2 linked regions of the Neurospora crassa OR74A genome follow. The protein of the gene in region 1 interacts with the protein of each later gene in a pairwise test. Links are inferred from orthologs where the notes say so. Each region holds a gene or a part of one and is shown on either strand. Other genes may lie near its edges.

Evidence for each region.
Region 2: the proteins of NCU08878 (region 1) and NCU04334 interact in a two-hybrid assay, tested with the Saccharomyces cerevisiae proteins (2 studies listed by BioGRID). The link is inferred for Neurospora crassa OR74A from reciprocal best matches to the Saccharomyces cerevisiae genes TEM1 and HSP10.

The regions. Positions count from the first base shown.
Region 1 is NC_026505.1:31,673-42,866, reverse strand, and holds NCU08878 (TEM1), read left to right. Parts: upstream 1-4,704; 5' UTR 4,705-5,550; coding exon 5,551-6,321; intron 6,322-6,382; coding exon 6,383-6,457; intron 6,458-6,509; coding exon 6,510-6,608; 3' UTR 6,609-7,798; intron 7,799-7,889; 3' UTR 7,890-7,983; downstream 7,984-11,194. Other genes in the region: NCU10291 (hypothetical protein), read left to right, coding at 1-288; NCU10292 (porphobilinogen deaminase, variant), read left to right, coding at 1,184-2,197; NCU08877 (glycine cleavage system H protein), read right to left, coding at 2,662-3,065, 3,208-3,313; NCU10861 (hypothetical protein), read left to right, coding at 8,461-8,674, 9,364-9,875.
Region 2 is NC_026504.1:3,735,889-3,745,415, reverse strand, and holds NCU04334 (chaperonin), read right to left. Parts: upstream 4,076-9,527; 5' UTR 3,915-4,075; coding exon 3,912-3,914; intron 3,647-3,911; coding exon 3,419-3,646; intron 3,248-3,418; coding exon 3,189-3,247; intron 3,069-3,188; coding exon 3,044-3,068; 3' UTR 2,646-3,043; downstream 1-2,645. Other genes in the region: stk-30 (protein kinase), read right to left, coding at 4,942-5,585, 5,642-6,950, 7,207-7,472, 7,638-7,692. UniProt on the Saccharomyces cerevisiae protein: Eukaryotic CPN10 homolog which is essential for mitochondrial protein biogenesis, together with CPN60. Binds to CPN60 in the presence of Mg-ATP and suppresses the ATPase activity of the latter.

The DNA.
Region 1 (11,194 bases):
ATGGGTGGAAGACCTCATTCCCTTCGCCACGATAGTCGTGTTGGTACGCCGAAGCATCTAGAAAATGTCCATGATTTGGCGGCGGATGTGAGAGCGCCAACAGGACCGGTGACTCCGTTGGCGAAGAGCCCGGAACCGAGGAGCCCTCCGCCCAAGAGACTGGCGGCGGCTAGTCCAGCTTTGAGCGCGTCCAGTATCAGCATCGGGACCAGGGCGCATCAATTGTTGGAGCACTTTTTGGAGGGTAATAGGAAGGCGGCGGAGCGGGAAAATGGGAATAAGTCGTGAGCTGGTGGGTTTTTGAAGGAGTGCAAGACCTGAATGGGAACGAGACAGAACGAGAGACGTTGGTGGGGCCGAGCAGGGTGTAAGGCACTGCACTCTGTGCAAAATGGTCACGCTCTTGGATGAGGAATGCTCGGGAAACACCTAGGATAATAACGGGATCGATGATAGAGATGAGTGGGTTGGAAAACAGACAAACGGATACCTCTACTTGCAAACAAAAAGCTCTAATCATTAGTCTTAATCATTAGCGTCAGATTACCTACGAAAAATCCGAGGAATCGTTATCTTTTCCAGTTGAAGTTTCGGGGTGGTTGTGAGCTGGGTCGGGTGGGAGTGACCCAAATGTTGTGAACAAGTGTGACCAGCGTTGTGTGTGAAATGGTTTGATTTGCGTTTTATGCTCACCTACCCTCTACTTTCTAGCCTACCCTCTCGACCTTGCTGGGGTGTGGCCGCCCGTGCCGACCGATGCTGTCCGGCAGTGAGGGCGGAGAAGCCTTTTGTCCCGGTGCCGGGGGCAGCGGACTTGACCCCACCGGCTCCGTCTGACAAAGTGGGTCAGTCCGCGACATCTAAACTTTCCCCTGTCCGAGGTCTTGGCGGCGGGGTGGTTCCCGCTGTCCCCGGCTCCAGCTTGCGCGGTTGCCCCTCTTGTCGCATTCCGAATTCCTGAGACGACTTCCTGGCCTTCCCCAGATTCACGACCGAACGTGTTGCGCCGCCTGACTTGACCAAGCGTTAACTGCAGTGAGTTGTCGCGCAGAGGATTTTCAGATCTTTGTTATCTCACTAGTCCAAACATCTCGTTCAGACAAGAAGATATTCCTCAGGATTGTTTTGCAACCACACTCACTCACCCATCACCTTCACCCTCAACCACCAAATCATCATCACAATGTCCGAACAAAAAGAAACAGTCCACATCGGCACCCGCCGCTCGGCCCTCGCCCTCCGACAAGTCGACCTCGTCATTGCCGCCCTCCAGCCTCACCACCCCAACGTCCACTTTCAAGTGCACGCCCTCGCCACCCTCGGCGACAAGAACCAAACGGCCTCTCTGCCCTCCCTCGGCAAGGGCCTCTGGACCAACGAGCTCGAAGCCAAGCTGTTCAACAAGGAAGTCGACTTTATCGTGCACTGCCTCAAGGACATGCCCACCACCCTGCCCGAGGGCGGTAAAATCGGCGTGGTGACGGAGCGCGAGGATCCGCGGGACGTGGTGGTGATGAAGAAGAAGTGGGCCGAGCAAGGGAAGTACAAGTCTCTGGCTGACCTGCCCGAGGGCGCCATCGTGGGTACTTCGTCGGTGCGCCGCGCGGCCCAGCTGCGCAGACGGTACCCCGGCTTGGTGTTCAAGGACGTACGCGGCAATATCGAGACGAGAATGAGAAAGTGCGACGAGGAGGATTATGACTGCATCATCCTGGCCGCGGCGGGGTTGTTGAGGATGGGCTACGACGAGCGGATTGCGCAGTGGTTGGATTCGACGACGGAAGGGGGAGGCATGTTGCATGCGGTCGGACAGGGCGCGCTGGCCATGGAGATCAGGGAGGGCGATGAGAAGACGCTGGAGATCATCAAGCCCTTGTGTCATGAGAAGACCATGGTGGCGACGTTTGCGGAGCGCGCCGTCATGAGGACCTTGGAGGGCGGGTGCAGTGTGCCGATTGGTGTTGAGACCAAGTGGGTGGGCGAGGATCAGTTGCAGTTGAAGGTGACGGTGGTCAGCTTGGATGGAAAGGAGAGTGTGGATGGGCAGAGCGTCGAGGTAATCAAGACGATTGAGGAAGCCGAGGCCATGGGTCAGAAGCTGGCGGAGGATCTGGCTAAGAGGGGCGCGCAGAAGATTCTGGACTTTGTCAACCAGGGTCGTGCCTCGGGGGGTGCACTCAAGATTGGTGATCTCTGAATGTTTGTTCTCTGATGGTGTTTTGTGTACGATAGAGAAGGATGAAAAGATGGCGCGAGGTTTTTTTTGCGGGCGAACCAAAAGTTGAGAGGTATGCGAGGCGCAACCGTGGGTTTCTACGATCTGCTGAATGTTTTCCATGCATGTACATAATCTTGGTATGATACTCTGATGCGTTCCATTGCATGCATGCTTATCCCGATTTAACTCCAATTCGATGTATGCATAAAACTACCAAACACCGCCCTTCGCCGTGTGATGATATGACAAAATACTTCTTTAGGCGTACTTTGTTGGGCCCCCCATGTCGTTTGTCTAAAAGCAGGTTGAACTGTCCGAAATTGAGTTGATCCCCGTAACCATTTCCCCGGGTTCCGTCATAAATAGCCAATATACACCAAGCGTCATTAATCTTTTTCCCGTCAAGCGGCGCCCCCCATGATTTTGAATCTCTTGCGTTATGTTTAGTGGTCCTCGGCGGCAGTGAACTCCTTGTAGGCCTCCTCGTCCATGAGCTTCTCGAGATCGGCAATGCCCTGGTCGGTAACCTGGACCTTGGCGACCCAACCGCCGCTGGCAGAGTGGTCCTCGGGAACCTTGTTGATGGTCGAAGGGCTCTCCTCGAGGGTCAAGTTGCTAGCAATGACCTTGCAGCTGACGGGGGCGTTGATGTCGGCGGCAGACTTGACGGACTCGACGGCGCCAAGGGCATCGCCAGCGTGGACCTCCTTGCCCTCCTCGGGGAGCTCGACGAAGACGACGTCGCCGAGGGCCTTGGCGGCGTAGGAGCTGATGCCAACGTAACCAGTCTTCTTGTCGTCGGAGAGCTCGATCCACTCGTGCTCGCGGGTGTACTTCCTTAGCTCATCTGTTTGTTGTGGTTGTGTTAGTTAGCATGTTGTTGCGATTGTGCGCGCCATGTGTTGTGGTTGTGTGAATCATTGTCGCAAAGGATGACTCCGCTTATCGGGAAGCGCATCGGCTGATGGAGACGGGAACGGGTGGCTCACTGTTGGCAGTAACAGAGAAGGGACGCGCAATGCGGACGGAGCTCTGGGCGAAAGCAGAAACGACGGAAGGACGAGCAATCCGGAGGCAGCGAGCAATGGAGGCCATTGTGACGGTCGGTGGTTTGGGCGGAGGGGGGGTGGACGGAAGGCGTGTATATCGGCGTCGCTTGGTGGTGTCGCAAGTAGTTGTTAGTGCTCAATCCAACCTATGCACCGGCCACAAGTCAGAAAAAGGCACAGACAGAGACGGGACCCGGGGTACATCCGCGGTACTATCGAATGACGAAAACAAAGTGCCGGCCACCCGACAAACGGCTAGACTCGGGGCCAGCAGCTGTCAAGGCCGGCTTGCCAAGACCACAGAACCGAGCAGCGGGAGATGTCGAATGCAACCCATATTATGTAAGCGCACCAAAAAGCAAACCATAGCCGGGCCATCAAGGTGGAACGGGCCGGATCTGGGGAAAGATCAACTGAAGAAAAACAAAAGCACGTCACCGGGCAACACATGGCAGACCGGACTTGCAAATGGATGGAGTGAGTGTCCACTGTTTTGAGTGCCCACTGCACCCCTTGGCAAGGAGCTGAGGCAGCATGGCACTCGGCGCGGGAGGGTGTGAGCAGTCCGTCGGTTCAATGGGCAATAGGCAAAGACGTTGGAAAGGCGCAAGGGGAGTGATGTGCCATGGCTTGCTCCAACATGCAGCCCGCCATAGGTTGATGCTTCCGATGAGGTTCAGATGCTGCAAGGGCCCGAGTGTGGATGTTCTGTTTACATATTGGAAATTTGTTGTGGACATCCATTGTTTTGTTGGAGTTATCGCCATCTTTCTTGCTCATCAACGGTTCAGTTGCCCGATGTGCACCACACACAACTGAAATAAGCCCCTCTGCCGGTGTCACCTTGCCCTTCTGCCACTCACACTGCATCATCTCAAACATACGTGACTGCTGTGTTGCCTTGATATTGCCGGGTGCCAATCTCCCTTCAGCTGTCAAGGACTTCCATGTTGTTCTGGCGCGGGGTTCATCTTAATCGTGATTGTCATAGCAATATCTCGGGGCCCAATTTGGAAACTCAAATCGTTCGACGTGGGATGCACTGCCCGCCTACCCATCTCCACATGCTCGCTCGGGCTTGTCGTCAACACAGCTGAATGTTTTCTTAGTGTACAGTTTGATGGCAAACGGACAAGGGAGCAGCCGCAAGCGCCGCCGCGCACATGAGGATTGAGATCTCATCTTGACGCCAACGAGAGGACCCCAGGGCAGTCCAGTGTTCGAAAAACAGGCGCCTAGCCCAGCCAAGCCAAGCGCTAGCGGACCCACAATCTGCGATCTTTAAGTGGAGTCTTGGTCTGATCAATTCCCTTCGATTGGAGCTCCTTCCCCTTGGTCCGTGCGTGCCCAGCTAGCTTCATCGTGTGTACCTATCGTCACTCTGCTGCCCGTCAGCGCCGCCAGCCCTGCACACGCAGTTGCGGGAGTGTCTAGCCTCTCTGGAGGGTCGGTACATAGCCATAGGTACGCCAACATCAATCCGACGACTCCTTGCATAGCATCTCGCAGCAGCAAGCATTCAGTCTGAATCCACTTCCATCAATCATTCATATTCCATCTCCATTCCCACTTCACTTCCATCCATCGATCTTCCAACCCCAGCTCGTTGCTGCAGCATCACTACATACACTACATACGACTCCGCCCGCACTTCAGCTGCCATCGGGAATCCATTCGTCGCCGTCCGCAGTCAGCAGCAGTCTCCACAGCCTCGGTGAAACAAACCCACAGGGTGCCCAGCAGGTACATACATACCTACATAGTCGTCGACTTATCGCACGATCCCCGATTGCGTTGCATCTTCCACGGCCGACCCGGCAAACCACAATTGTCTGTCTCCAGGTAGCAAAGCAAGAAACGAGCAACATACAAGCAACCATTTACAAACCACTATCACGCGCCATATACCCATCCTTTTAACCAACGGCCAACTTATCCGACCGCGCCGTCTCAATCACCAAGACCAACCTTTTCCCTCCCCTCGTCCCATCTCGTGCAGTCGCCCCTCCCCCCCGCTTGCCGCCCGAACCCACGAGGAAAGCGTTATACGGGGTTTCACCAAACACCACAAACGGACCACGACAAACCGATTGCTGGATCCCTCCCGTCCGACCCCTTTCCGCTGGTCTTCGTCTCGCCCGCACAGACAACCCAGCATCCCAGGCTGAACCTCTCTGTCTACCTACCCCTCCTTAGGCCTCATCCATTGTCAAGCTGGACTTATCGCCCTTCTTCGCCGGGTCCCCGGACCAGTTCCTCGATAACAACAACCACAACAGCAACATGGACACCGTGGTGATGGATCACGATCAAACCATTAGCCCAAACGAGGCTCAGCTTCCTCACAACAACAACATTCCAGACGACAACATGGGTGGTCTGGAGGATTCACCCCAAATAACACCCGACCAAAACGGCTTCCCAGATCGCCATTACCAACAGCAATTCGATCAGAACCTCAACAGCTCACCACGGTCATATTCCCAACACGACAACTTCGACTCAGACCGATATGCCACGCCACCAGCACCCCAGCCTTCAACGTCACGACCGCCCTCGGGGCTCGACGGCCAGAACCCATCCCAGTCCGCAGAAAACGGCTCGCGGACAACCGCCGGCGGGAGTTCCAGCGAGCAAGCCAACGGGCGCAATCATGTCGTGATCAAGGTCGGCATGGTCGGTGATGCGCAGATTGGCAAGACAAGCTTGATGGTCAAATACGTCGAAGGCAGTTGGGACGAGGACTACATCCAGACTCTGGGCGTCAACTTCATGGAAAAGACCATCAGCATCCGCAACACCGAGATCACCTTCAGCATCTGGGATCTTGGCGGTCAACGCGAGTTCGTCAATATGTTGCCGCTCGTGTGCAACGATGCTGTAGCCATCCTCTTCATGTTCGACTTGACCCGCAAGAGCACGTTGAACAGCATCAAGGAATGGTACCGCCAGGGGCGAGGATTCAACAAGACGGCCATTCCCGTCCTTGTAGGCACAAAGTACGATCACTTTGTGAACCTTTCGCGGGAGGAGCAGGAGGAAATCTCCAACCAGGTAGGATCCGTCATTTGTGCGTATACGGCAAAGTTCCTGCTTGCTGACGTTACTTTTCCAGGCACGGCGATTCGCCAAGGCCATGCGTGCGGCATTGATCTTTAGCAGCACCAGTCACAGCATCAATGTCCAGAAGGTACGTCACACTTTGTTTGCCGCAACTGGTGCATGGTCTGACTGTTTCGCAGATCTTCAAGATCGTACTATCCAAAGCCTTCGATCTAAAATGCACAATTCCTGAAATTAGCAACGTTGGCGAGCCACTTCTCTTGTACCAGTCGGTATAGGTTGATGAGTAAATTCGACGCTGTCAACCGTCTTCGCGACAACTGTGCGAGCGGCCTCCTCCGACGATCTGCAATTTGCATTAATACCCCTGGCTGGTGTCGGAGCGACGGCACATGTTGAGTACCTGTAACGGTCACTCGACAGCGACGTGGGAGACCCAATTAACGGAATACCGAGGCGCGGTCCCCTTTGCATATATTTGCTTCGAAGCCCCTCCCCCCTTTTCCCGTGCCCGAACACCCTCGAGGCAACTCCACTCATCAGGACAATCGCATTTTGTGATTATTTAGTCCGTGGCTTAGCAAATAAAGCACAATGGAGGACGGCAAATGGGCATGGGTCGTGATAAAAACGAGACATAATAGTCTTTGGAGTCCGGTTGTAAGGAACGGCTGGCGCAGGACCGATCATACCAAATTGGGCATCTCAATCCGAAATACGATGGGGAAGGGTATTCTATACTATGAATACGGAGCGCAAGGAATACGTGGGGCGCGTGCCTTTGGCCCTTCAGGCGTGGCATCGTCCCCGGTACAGGTAGAAAGGGACTGGATGTTCATTCTTTGGTAGTATGTGTTTTAATTCCCTGTTGGCAGTCAACATATCGGTATTTTCCTGCACATTCTTTGCCTTCTTCTTGCTCTCCAAGCCGATGGCACGAAACACTACCCGCCTCTCCCCGCAGACGTTCCGAGACATCTATCATTTTTTTTCAACGTGTCGCCTCAAAACTGACACCATGTATCTTCCGGCGTATGGAGTGCTCAGTCGGTCTACCATAGAACCAGCCACTTGACCAGAAACAAATGGCCACGGAGGCTGTATATGCAAAACATCATATATCCGTTACCAGAATCATCTGCTGAATAAAGTGCCACTGGGGTTGGGACAACTCATAAAGGTGAGCTTCCTCCTCTGCAAGAAGGAAGAGCACGTAGGCTGCGAACCGAAACGACGTACACTACAAGGTTCTGTCCTCACAAGATCGGTTTCCCGAAACCTGTTGTTCTTCCCAATGTGGTTCTCGTAATCCCGCTTGCGGACGTCGCAGTAGATAACGGAACAGGCATACGCAAACCCCGAGAACCGTACTCGAACCTCATCATAGACACCAGAGGCTTACCAGACATTCCATCCTCGTCCTTGCGGCTGATACATCACACCCGAGGACAATGTAAGGTTGTCAAAAGTTCGTCCCTCTGCGCCCTGCTCGTGATTCGTTACCTCGTGCCCGGCCAACTCAGACGCCGTGCAATCGCTGACCAAGGATAGCTGCTCAGGTCAAACCCTTCATTGACTCTTGGGACTCAGGTTCGGCGCACGCGTGCCACATCAACAAGCATGATGCTTAACCTGTCACGTCATGGCGATCCATCCATCGGCCTTGAGCCAACTCCAGACACCCAACTACCATGCTCTATTTCCTCACCGAGAACATCCACTCCGCTGGCTTATCGAGATCATCCAATGGTTTCGATCACTGTGGACTACATCCGGAGAATCTGCGCTTGGGAAGCAGTTTTTTTCCCCTCCACCCACAAAGGGTGAAACAACGACGACGTGACCAAGGGTTCCGTTGTCTGTGGTTGGGGAGGCACCGCAACTCGAAGACGTTGGACAAACAGAGGGACTTTGACACTGCTTGGCTAACGAAGCTCTTTGAGCGGCCTTTCCTTCCGAGATGATGAATCCCAAGCTCGTAATCAGAGACAGAAAACCGATGGATGAGGTTAAAAGCATTTACGATCACATCATCGCATCCATCTGAGACATCCCTTCTTCCCAAACTACGGCCATTTTGATCATCAAAGCTGCAGAAAGACCCAAAACCGACAGCAACACCGAAGCATTATGAAGTCCTTCATCGCCTTCTGCTCTGCAGCCTGCTTCTTTTGCCTAGCGCTCGGCCAGAGCACCGCAGGATCGGGCACGACGTTCTGGCAAGCCGCGGTGCCGTCGAGCACCGCTCCAAGCACTTGGACTCCGAGCACGCCGGCTCCTCCTGGCCAGGCGCTGTGCGGGCAAGGGTTTACTTATTGCGGTTATATCTTGAGGGATCATCAAAGTACGTCTTCAACCCGATACAACTTTGTTTTCAATCCACTTTCCGTTCGCTCTCTTTTCTTCTTCTTCTTCCGACTTTCCTTACTATCTTCCTCTCCTCTAAAATCTCTATTTACCCGCTTCTTAATTCTTCTTTATAGTTCCTTTACCCTATCTTTTACTTATCTTTATCCTTTCTACGCCCTCTTTTTACCCTCTCTTTACCCTTTTATTTCCCTTATTTACCTTCTCTTTACCTTCTCTTTACCTTCTCTTCACCTTCTCTTCACCCTCTCTTCACCCTCTCTTCGCCCTTTTATTTTCCTTATTTACCTTCTCTTTACCTTCCCTTTACCTTCTCTTTACCTTCTCTTTACCTTCTCTTTACCTTCTCTTCACCTTCTCTTCACCTTCTCTTCGCCCTTTCTTTACCATTTCGTTATCCTCTTTTTATAAACCAATTACCCTATCTTCACCTTCCCTTTATATTTTTTTTCTATATTTTCGTCTTTAATTTTTTTTTAACTTTTCTTCCTTTTTTTCCTACCAGGCCGTCGCCGCATCTCATCTTCGGACAACTACTACAGCAGCCAAGAACTTTCTCTACCCTACTCCCTCCCACTTACACTTCTTTTCCCTTCCTTTCAGCTATCAACGTCCAATTTAACAATTCACACTCCAACCCCAACTAACATCTCCTCCCCTTCTTAGACTTCAAAGAAGAAGATGTAGTCAAAGCCTACTGCGCCGCCTCCAGGAGTAACTGCGCCAACGGCAAAACCAAGACCGACCCTATCCAAGCCCTCTACGTCTGCCTCCCCGCCAACGCCAACCCAAAGGAAAAGGAAAAGGCAAAAGACTCCGCCATGTCGCCGAACCCGCACTTCGACGACGCACCCACTCCCGTACTGTCATCCGGCAAGTCCATCTCGGGGCTCTCCCGGTTCTTCAGCATCCTCTCTTCGCGCACGCATATGAATATGAACCATGCCGTTCATGAGAACATGGATCAAGATAGCACCACCGGAAAGATGATGCAAGCGAGACAGGCGCCAGCGTCGTCGTCGTCGTCGTCGTCAAACACGACGAATGCAGGGAATGATGGTGGTAGTTGCAATACGCTGGCTACGTCGGGGAATAGGATTGAGTTGTTGTGCGCCTGTAGTGGCAACTGTCTGAATCCGGTGTCGGATCATATTGGGAGGTGTGACCAGTCTTGTTAGTAATTGGATTCCAAGTGTCTTCGGGAGGTGGATGGGGTGGGCGGTAATGGTTAATGCGGAGGTGGGCGAGTAGGGAAAAAAAAATCACGGGAAGTAAAAATGGTATGTTTTCCTTATCAATCCAAGGTCTTTCTTGTCTAGTTGTCTCATTATGAGGCAGCTGTTTATAGACTAGTCAATCGAACTGTTATTTCATGCTTCGGTTCATCAGTTTTGGATAACGCCAGTTCGACGGTATTAGGAAAGTATTAACAATCTAATTGGGAGCGAGAAGGATCATATTAGGAGAGGCTTCATGCGATCTGAAAGGCCCTTATTGTTATGCTACGTAGTGTAGCTACCGATATACCGAGCAGCTGCCAATCCATAGCCATAGCTCCGAGCTTTTGCAATGCGCACGTTCTTTTTGTCTGGATGGTCTACCCATGAGTCTCATCCAATGTCCACGCCGTGGTAGTGGCATCTGCACGAGACAAGCCGACCGTCATCACGTATATCACCCGGATTTGAAATCTTTCCGTCCAGTAAGACAACGTCAGCAAGCCAAATCGGATTACCAAGAAACGGTCACGTCCAGTATCACCAACTTCACACTTTTGTTATAGCACCTAGACACTCACGCTTCTCTCCTGTAGTAACCCTTTCCCGCGTGCACGCATGACGCAAGGCCGTGTTATATGTTCCAACTTCAAGCATTATCTCATACAGATAACTTGGTTCCAAGAGGATCAAGCAAGAGCCATGAGGCATCGCTATACATCATTTGATAAGCGTTATTCATCTTGGGTCAGTTGTTATATACACTGGAATAGTCATGGCATCATCTGTCATCTTCACAACCGCGGCAAAAGACAAGTAGGCTTCAACCCCTACAACCTGCGGCCATCGCAAGGACCAAACACTGGTGTCGGCCAGGGCGCAGGCATATTTCAGAATGAGAACGTATATGCAGTAATGAGTTTGCCCGCGCGGTCTCGTCGTCAAAGAAGCATGAGTAAACGACTTCAGATATATTTTCCTTCAGCGAGCATATAGGTTTATGGATGGCTGTCATTACATATTCATCCGACAAGCAAGCTCTGTGAAACTACCTCCAATTCCGGCAAGCAACTCCCGCTATGACTATGATTGCAATATGAGACTGCATTTGGCTGGGTTTCCATGACGGTTTGTGCCTCTGACTGTTGTCAACGCCCATCTGACTCTGTCATGGCCATGATGATCCCCATCCAACAACAGTATGACGGCAAGCGTGTACGCAAAGGCAAAACCCAAGGAAGCAAATGACTGAAAGCTATGATCAAGCAACAAGGAGGGTA
Region 2 (9,527 bases), on another chromosome or scaffold:
AAAAAATTAAATTAACGAAATTTATTTTAATATAGAAGAATATAGGGATAAAGATTATCTACTACTTATAATTATATATACTCTATACCTCTAACTATACTAATATAATCTTACAAATATATAATATCGTCTTTTAATTACCGTAAATAAAGAAAAGCCTATCGCTAAACTACATCTAATTTATACTAAATAAATTAAAAAATAATTTATCGTACAAATAATAGATACCGGCGAATTCACCTTCGTTTTCGTTAATAGCAAGCGTTTAAAGAATATAGCTTTTAAGTATATAATATTATTTAACTTTAAGGAAGCAATAAGCGGGAAAAAAACCTTATTCGCCGATAAACGGAAAGAGGGACTTTAATTTCTTTATAATTAAATAGTTTATAGTAGGGCGAAATAATTGTAGCGTTTGTACGAAAGCCGGGATAACCCAATACAGTCGGAAGGGAATAGTAAACCGAAATTAGTTAAATCGGAATAGGCCTTAAATATTAAAATTATTTATTAATAAATAAATTGTAAAGTTACGTATTATATCCTATCAACTAGTACCTAAATTCTAAATTATATTTAAATAGTTATAGTTATTATATATAATAATAAGAGTAGGGTTAGAAATAATACGTTTAAAGTTAGCCTAAAAGCGTTAATATAAATTATAAAACAAATAATCGACGGTACTAACTATTATAGAAATTGTAAGAGTTTTAATTATTATTATAATTTTAATATAAAATATATAAATACTAAAAATAGATAAAGTATTTTGGATATACTTAGCAACGCTGTTAGTACGCAAATATAAACCTATAATTTGCAAAAAGAAATCGGATTTACTAGGGGCGACGATATATATAATAATAATTAAGATTATATATATTATAGGCGAAATATAGTCGCTATAATAAATTTATAATCCCTACGTTTTTTTATAGGTGTAAGTATATTGTATTAAACTTATAAGAAGCGAATATAATTTAAACGTATATTTAGGTAGGCTATTAATATATTGCTTAATAGCCGATGTAATTTATTGTATATCGTATAGATCCGCGATATTATATAGCTAGTCCCCCTATAGAGTAGAAGAGGTACTAAACTTCGTAAAAAATAAAAATAGGTCGATATATTTAGAGAGAGATATTAATTCCTAATAGAAGTTCTTTATATTATATAAATTACCCTTATTATTAAAATATATTATAATATTACTATAATAGAGAATTTTATATATATAATTATTATATAGCGTATTAATAAGTTACTTAATATAGAATTTCGATAGCCGGTTATTACTTTAAATTATTTTAATTTAACTACGAATAAAGGGTTTTAATATCCCCCTAGGATATAAATATACCTAATACTCTTAAATAAAACGAGCGAAGTATTAATTTTAATTAATAACGCCTAAATTACTCTAATTTTATAGTAGTAAGCTATATTCGATTGGGTTCGGGGAGGTTGGGGGGCTATAGTAAGGAGTTGGAATTAAAGCCCTAGGGTTTAAATACGTACGAATCAAATATATTACTATAATTAGAATATTCGGGAAAATACTAAATTTAAACGAAAGGAAGGGCGAATTAGATACAAGCGTAGAAGGGTTATTAGGTAAAGTTAGAACGGCCGTTTCCTAGAACGAATAGTAAATTATATTAAGTAAATTAAACGTCGTAGGTCTATATATATTACTCTAATCGGAGTTATAATAAACAAAAACGGATAAATTACATATTGCAACTTTAGGGGTTTTACTCTAATTAGAGTCGTAGAGAACGAAAACGGATGTATTACGTATTGCGATTTTAGGGGTTTCGTTCTAATAAGAGTAAATAATTAGAATTAAGGTATATTTTAATTCTAATTAGAGCAGAATTTAATTGCAATAGTTGGGCCCTATAGCGGTTAACGGCCGAAATATTCAAAATTGGCTTAGACCTGCTACTGCAGAAACGGGTGGGGTGGGGTGGTTTTGGAGGTTAGTGGGTCTGACTGAGACTAATTGTGCTAAGCTAAGAACGAGAAAGGAAAAGAACTGTGGAGGGCTAAAATATATAGTGGTGGCGCCCTAATGGCCCACATGTGACCGAGCAATTCGGGCAGGCCCAATGCCAGTGAATGGCAGTCTGGGCGCTCCATACCACACCACAACAGTGTGTGACTAACTAACTGCTTGCTGCTGAAGTGGTGCCTTTGTTGATTTTCCTATGTTGCTGTTGGTTCCGTGTTGGTTTTGGCTCACTCTTCGACTTTCTCCTCCCGTCCCTTGTCATTCGGATTCCACTGGGGTAAGATCAGGAACCAAATCACGCCTACCGCCGGCGCAGCGCTCACCGGCCCTGCCCGTTTGCGATAACGTGCTACACTGACGCTGTCTTTGTATATCCCTTCTCTTTGCTTGTCTGATGTTGTCAAGCACGAATTGAACGAGACAGATGTACGGGACAGGAGACGCTCGTGTTAACTGATATTTCTGCTTGATCAACCCACGACAGCTCGCTTGCTCGTTGTTCCATGGATAACAGTAGAAGTATGTATCAGCCACATCTCGTCTCGTCTCGTCTAGTTTTTCAGGTCTGAACCCCACCAAACCGGCAGCACCAAGGATTATGAGACGGAAACCGAGGACCAAGACCAGAGGAGTGAGGAACACTGTTTGATCTGAAACTAGAGATCGGGTGAAGCTATCGTATTCTGAGCCGGAAATTCGGACGAACTGTGATGTGAGGAGTTGATTGAGGACAACTGACATCCCGATATCTTTCCTCTCGCTTCAAGTTAACTGTCACAAGAATGAGGTGAGTTGAGGTGTCATTTTCAATAACCAAACCATGATCAAGCGATAAATGCCGTGCACCACCACCTCATGCCCACGTTTTCGTGTCAAGTATGCCAACCTGTCCGTTTAGCTGTTGTTCAATGCTGGTTTCTATTGGTACATTACATATTGGTACACTTTTGATAATGTCATAAGAATCATGAGAGGGTATCCTTTATATTTTGCTTTTTGGGTTTTATGCTGGCTCAACGAGGTTTACTCGGCGATCTTGGCAAGGATCCTATCGAAGAGACATATGTCAGTAACCGGCTCTTCCTGTATGTTTGCATAGGCCGGCCGGGAATAGTTTCCCTCCCCCCTCCAATCAGGGACAGAATCTGTGGTGTGTGGTGTAACTTACTCGCTATCGCGGAAGAGGGTGTACTCCTCCTCGCCAACCTTGACAGGGGAACCGCCGTACTGTCAAAGAGCGCGTTAGTATCCATATTCCTCTCTTCTTTCCTCTTTATACAACAGCCCATGCATGCATGCGTTGCATCCGGGTGTTACGGACAGATAACCTTAATCTGTAACCGCCCGTCTGCTCTGCACCGGCATTGTGTGTAGCGCATTGGTGGCCCTCTAACGTACCTGAGGGATAAGAACGCGGTCGCCAGCGTTGACACCCATGGGGAGACGCTTGCCGTCCTTGTCGAGGGCACCGGGGCCAACAGCGAGAACCTTGGCCTCGTTGAGGTCCTTAACGGAGGACTCGGGAAGGAAGATGCCGGAGGCAGTCTTGGCCTCGGCCTTGACGCGCTGGACGAGGACGCGGTCAAGGAGGGGGATGAGGGACTTGACGGAGCGGACGGTAGTGGCCTGCGGTGACGACAACAATAACGCGTTAGTCGACAGTTTGGTTTCATGATATCGTCTTGCATGTTCGGCGCCAATTGCACTTGTCGTGGTGCTTGCCGCCGAATGTTCAGTTGGGCCGGTGCTAGCCAGAGGTTCTACAGCGCAATTGCTAGGCTTCCGATAGCTACGCAATGCTGCCACAGTATGTAGCTCCCTCTTTCCGGCGCTTCCTTGTCCCCGGCGGCGGAGTGCGATTGGATGTCTCGGACGGGAGGTGTGTGCTCACCATTTTGACGGGATTGAAACGGTGAACGGCAACGAGGGATTCGACTGGCGAGCTTGGGCGTGAGGATGGACGAGTACGGCGGATCTGAGGAGACTGAGGGGGAAAGAGCTTCGGTATTCAGGTCGGCGGGATCGCGACTTTTGATTACCCTTGCACGAGCTTCGATGCGCATCTAGAAGATGCCGCTCCATTTTTTAATGGGCCCGGACTTGCTGTTTATCCCTACCGATGTCGGTACGTCACCGGCAATCCCGCCTAAACGGGCAGCCTACCTGCTTCTGATTGGCTGTGCGAAGCTGGGGTAACACGCCCGGCTTGGCCGGGGAACGGTGGATCGTCCTGCGAAGCGGCTCCGTCCGTTGCTCCGGTTACCATGACAGAACACAGATAAGGTCTCCTCTACATCTATAGGTATCTATATAAAGGGTAATCTGGACTTACAACTTCCATCTCATTGAGAACGGTCTTGAAAAGTCCATCACCATTAGCAACGTCACATATCTCACGGGCGGGCAGCTGTCTGTCTAGATTTTACCACTTCTCACTCGATCAATAACTGCACTTTCTAATTATAAAGCGAGCGACCTTTGTACACTCAACAGTGTTTAATGCCCGTCTCCCACAATATGTCTAGCCTAGCCATACCACCTTCTATCTTTTACCAGAGAGTAGCATAATCAAAAAGATGAACGCTGTATGCCTGGAACCCAGCCCCCCTATACTGAATCTTTGCATCGACACCCAAACCCAATCGCAGCGCTGTCTTCCCAAGTCCCAAAAACGCCCAAGAAAATGACGAAAAACCGCTGCCTCGCAAGGAAACAGACACCGACTGAGAGGAAAATGGTAACAATACCCATATACTGCACTAAAAACGTATGTTCGGTCTTTTCAATACTAAACCCAAGTTATCCCCCACAAGTCCCATCAGATAACCCTTCTTGTTCCTAACCCAAATGTTGGTGGCATCCTGTGCCCCCAAGAAGCCGTCCTGTATTTGAGGATGTCTACTGGCGCGAAGGCTCCACTTCTAGCGTTTGGCCTTTTCATCTTTGGTGCCTGCAGGTGCTGATGGGGGTTCGAGAGTATGTACGTGATCGTCCGCATGTGCCACGTTGCCGGGGCCGATCTGCCGGCAGATGACGGTGTTCGCCACCCATGGATCGTCAAGAATTTCCGTCATCTTGGCTCGTGTCTTGGGATCCAGATCGAGCATCCTGCCGATGACGTGTCTGCTTTCCCTCGGGAGAAGCCTGAGGATTCTCCAAGGACCACGGATAACCTCCTTCTTCTCTCCAGTGCTGCCAGCTTCTCCTTGTACGCTGGTTGTCGGCTTGTGATCGGAAGTCGTCTTCTTGTCATCCTGAACCTTGTCGATCTTGTCGCTGCTAGCCCTGACGCTCTGAGGGTCGTAGTCTCTGTATGGAACATCGCTAAGCGCCGACGTGGAGGCTGAAGGTGGAAGCAACAGTTTCTTTGGGTCATGTCCGAACGAAGGTTCTGCAGCGAATAGCTTGAACGAGTTGTCGGTCAATCGAGGAACCTTCCACGGGAATCGCCGGAGTGTCATGCAGCAGTAGATGATGGCCAAGGACCAGATATCAACGGCTTCGGGATCGTACTTCTTTTCGTCGTACACTTCGGGGGCAAGATATGGGTCGGATCCAACAATGCCTTTGATCGGTTAGCAACCCTTCAACCAGCATCTTCTCAGCCAAGTGTTTACATACCTGAGGCATGTACAATACCAGTCTCAAACGGATACCGGAAAACATGAGCACTACCAAAATCGATAATCTTCATAATCCCATGCTCGCTAACCACAACGTTGTCAAGCTTCAGATCCCGATGCGCGAGGCCCATGCTGTGAAGGTATGTTACGCCACTCAAGATCTGAAGGAAGCAGCAGCTGACCTCTTCTCGAGACATCTTTCCTGTCATGACAATGGCGAACAGGTCATACGGAGCGTACTCCATCACCTCATACCACTTGCCCTTCTCCTGGACAATGTCTAGGGTTTCAATGATGTTGCCATGGTGCAAAGAAGATCCCATGCAATACTCGGCCGTAAGCTTCTTGACATATTCGCGCTCGGTTTCGTACGAGTGGCGAGGGCGGAACTCCTTAACGGCAAAGACCACACCGTCTTCGCTGCGCTTCATGAGTCTCACCGAACCTCCCGCTCCGGCACCCAACACCTTGCCAAGCTTCCCGTATTTAGAAGAGAGACCGTGATCGTCACCGAACGGAATCTGGGCGGACTTGCCTCCCGGTGTCTTGGGCGTAGACTTTACAGAAGCAGCGGGAGATGCCGGTCTCTTGTTCTTGTGGGGTCCCAGCTTGAAGAACCTCTTCAGGTCCGCCATTGAGCTATTTCTGCTGGGGATTGTGGCCTCGTCGTCGTTGTCATGGCGATCCTTCTTGGAGCGTTTGTCGCTTTTGGATACCAGACTCAAAGAGGACGAGTTCTTTTTCCTGGAGAAGATGAAGCGAGGCTCAATGCCTTTTTGTGCAGGTCGTTTGCTTGCCGAGTACGGATCGTTGGCATCGCCGGGAGGTGGTAGTTGGCGGGTGTAGAACTGTGACGCGGCCAACGCTCGGGAGGGACTGGATTCACGAGACGCAGGCTGAGATCTACTGGGGGAACTGCTGCCGCCGGATCCAACGGAAAACAACCCTCTGCGATGTTCACCAATAGTGATCTGGGGACGATCTCGGCCATCTATCGAAGTCGGCCTGGAAGAGCTCCGCAGCTGTTCGTCGGGTGTAGGCAGCTGGACATTGCGGAGAGAGGTAGGTGATGTCGGTTCGTGGGAAGAATCTTGAGGAGTGATGAGGTTGGCACTCCGCCTTTCTTGCGCCAGAGCGCTCTCGCGGCGAAGTTCTCGGTCGACGTTGTCGGTTCCAGCCGGCGTGAGAGGAGGTGTATGCATTTCGTGGCCCCTGACGTGCGGAGTAAGAAGCGGTGAGTTGCGACCTGCCGAGCTCCGTGTATGTTCGCGACTGGGAGCTCTTGAATCATCTTCGTGGGAAGGTGTCTGGAGATAGCAAAGTATTAGTCCTCGCCCAAGGGGTAAAGACGCAGACGCGAAGAATGGTGACTATGCATGCATGGATATATGGTGTGCAATCAGACAAGAGACATGGAAAAAGCCAGCAAAAGCCACCGAGCTGATCTTGGTTGCACAAGCCCCCCCCGGAAGCGACGGACCAAGGCAAAAGCAAAACTTGGGAGATGAACAAAGGAAGGAAGCAAGAAGCGTAGCCCCTCACGTGAAATTAGGATGGGCTTACCCTTGAAGCGGGAAGCGAGAATGCCTCGTACTGGAAAAGGCTTATCCTTCGCTCCTGCAGCGGACAGGCCTTCAACCTCTCGGCGATATCACGAAGCTGCTCGGGGGTGACCTCACCCGGTTCGCCGAGGGTGACGTCTGGTGCAATGGTTGGTGTCGATGTGGTGCCCTCTGGCGTGATCTCTTCGACAGTTGACTTGAAGCGGACAGCAGGCTCGGTTTTGGATGGTTCAGCGGGAGTGACTTTGACCGATTGCGGCTCGACAGCTGTTGGAGTAGACTACAAGTCAGCGAATTGCTTCAATCCAATGCTTGCTCGTTCTAGTCCCCGAGGATTGGCGTAGTAGGGATCAGAGATGAGGGGTTGCCGTTGATTTTTTATTCGTGTTTTTTTCTTTTCCAATTCTTCGTCGTTGTTTCCTTTCTCCTTACCTTGGAACTGTTCGTCCGGTTGACGCTGCTCTGACTCTTTCTCAGCGGTCGCCATCTTTTTTTTTTTTAGGTGTTTTGTTGTTTTTGTTGGGTGACTTTGATTTCTTGGTTCGAATTTGCGCCCGTCTCCGCAAACTAATAAAACTTGTAAAATCCTGGCAGGAATCCGAATAACGTCTGGTGTCTGGCCCGCCCTGGAAAACAGAGATAAAAAAGATGGGATAAAAGACCGTGTGATGCAAGATGCAAGGGCCAGACAGGTGACAGAGCGACAGAAGATGCAAGACAAGACCAGACCGGCAAGCAGACGCAGCGGCGGAATGGGCGGAAACTATGTCAAGTGGAAGCAAGGGAAAGGCAAATGGGACGGCGGCGAAAGAAGAGTCGGGGCCAAATAGATGACGGCGATCTCAACTGTCATGGAACTGCAAAGCCTGTAGACAAGGCTTGGACTGGTCACTACTAGTACACTATGTAGGAGGTGAATAATGGGGTTTCCACTTTCCACCGTGACTTCTGATTTGACTTTGCCTGGCCTTGACGATTCCTTGTCGATGCTGTGTGCCTAGGCTTCAGTTCTTGTTCACTTGGGACAGAAGCGGCCCGGGTTCGGCGAAGAAATGGAAGTGTGAAAGATGGCGCTCTGTTGCGTCGTGGTGGGGCCGAGCTATGTACATGACAGGTACTTACAGGAAACGTTGGCTGCAGGCGGCGGGAAACACGGGTACCCTTGATGGACCACCAGCCAGTGCACCCGCCTGGGAGGAGAGGACCTGAGTTGAATCTGAGAGCGGGCACGCCGGCACTGAGATCGGGCCAAGCCGGCTTTCCTAGAATGATTGAATTTCAGACGGATCCGCAGTCACAGACTCCCGTCCTCACAAGGTGAACGGTCTCGAAGCCAAACAGTTTGAACGTGGCGGCGGGCACCCTGTCTGGGCGTCAGTGTTCCCAAAACCGCAATAGGAGTCCCGTCTTGGATCTTGGTCTTTGTCATACACTACACAAGTACACATTGGAACCGGGAGCGGTCGGCAACCTGGGGTCAGGTCCCTGATCCTGTCCATCGATGTCCTCTTCCATCTTGTCCGACTTCCTTTTCCAGCTTTGAAAGATGCCGAGCGATTGCAGCGCCTCCCCCTCTAAAACGCCAATGACCAGCTGCATTGACGCAGTCGTAATTCCTGCCAGGACATCCATTCCATCACATCTCTGTTTCCGCCGCCCCGTGTTGTTCCTCAAACACTGGGCAGTTCACCCAATGACTCGAGTGAACACCTCAGCCGGTTGTGCCTTGCGTCCTTGGCTGTCATCCTCGTTGCCCTGCGTTTCAACTGAACAACAGAGAGTCAAGTATGAATCCCGCAGCAGCCCCGACCACCGTCAAAGCGGCCTTTTAGAGCGCCGCCGTGTCCGAAAGACCGAGGCACCGCAAAGGCATGGATGACAAGTCTAGGTGGTGTTGGTGGTCAGCTTTGTCTCCAGTGACTGTCCTGATGTCACCCAACCTTTTTTTTCGATGGACTGCCAACGGATATGGTAAACAGCTTTCTATGTCGATCTCTACCGCCGAAAACCAGGTCCTTATCGCTCGGTTCGGTGTAACCCATGTCGATACCCCGCCATGCTGCGGGAGGTAATTGCCCGAATGGTTCTAGAAGCCATTGAATGTAATTGCAATCGTTGCACACGTGTAGGATATTAAACAATCATCCATTTCATCTCGTTAGTATTGAAAGCATGAGATGAACACCATGGCGACATGATACCGGGGCTTCGCCTGAGTGGTAAGAAGTGGGCTGGTGGATAAGCACTTGGGCGAAGCGGATGTTTGTTTACAAAACCCCTTTTTATATATGTGTGTGATTTGTCTTGCAGTCAGCTTAGCCA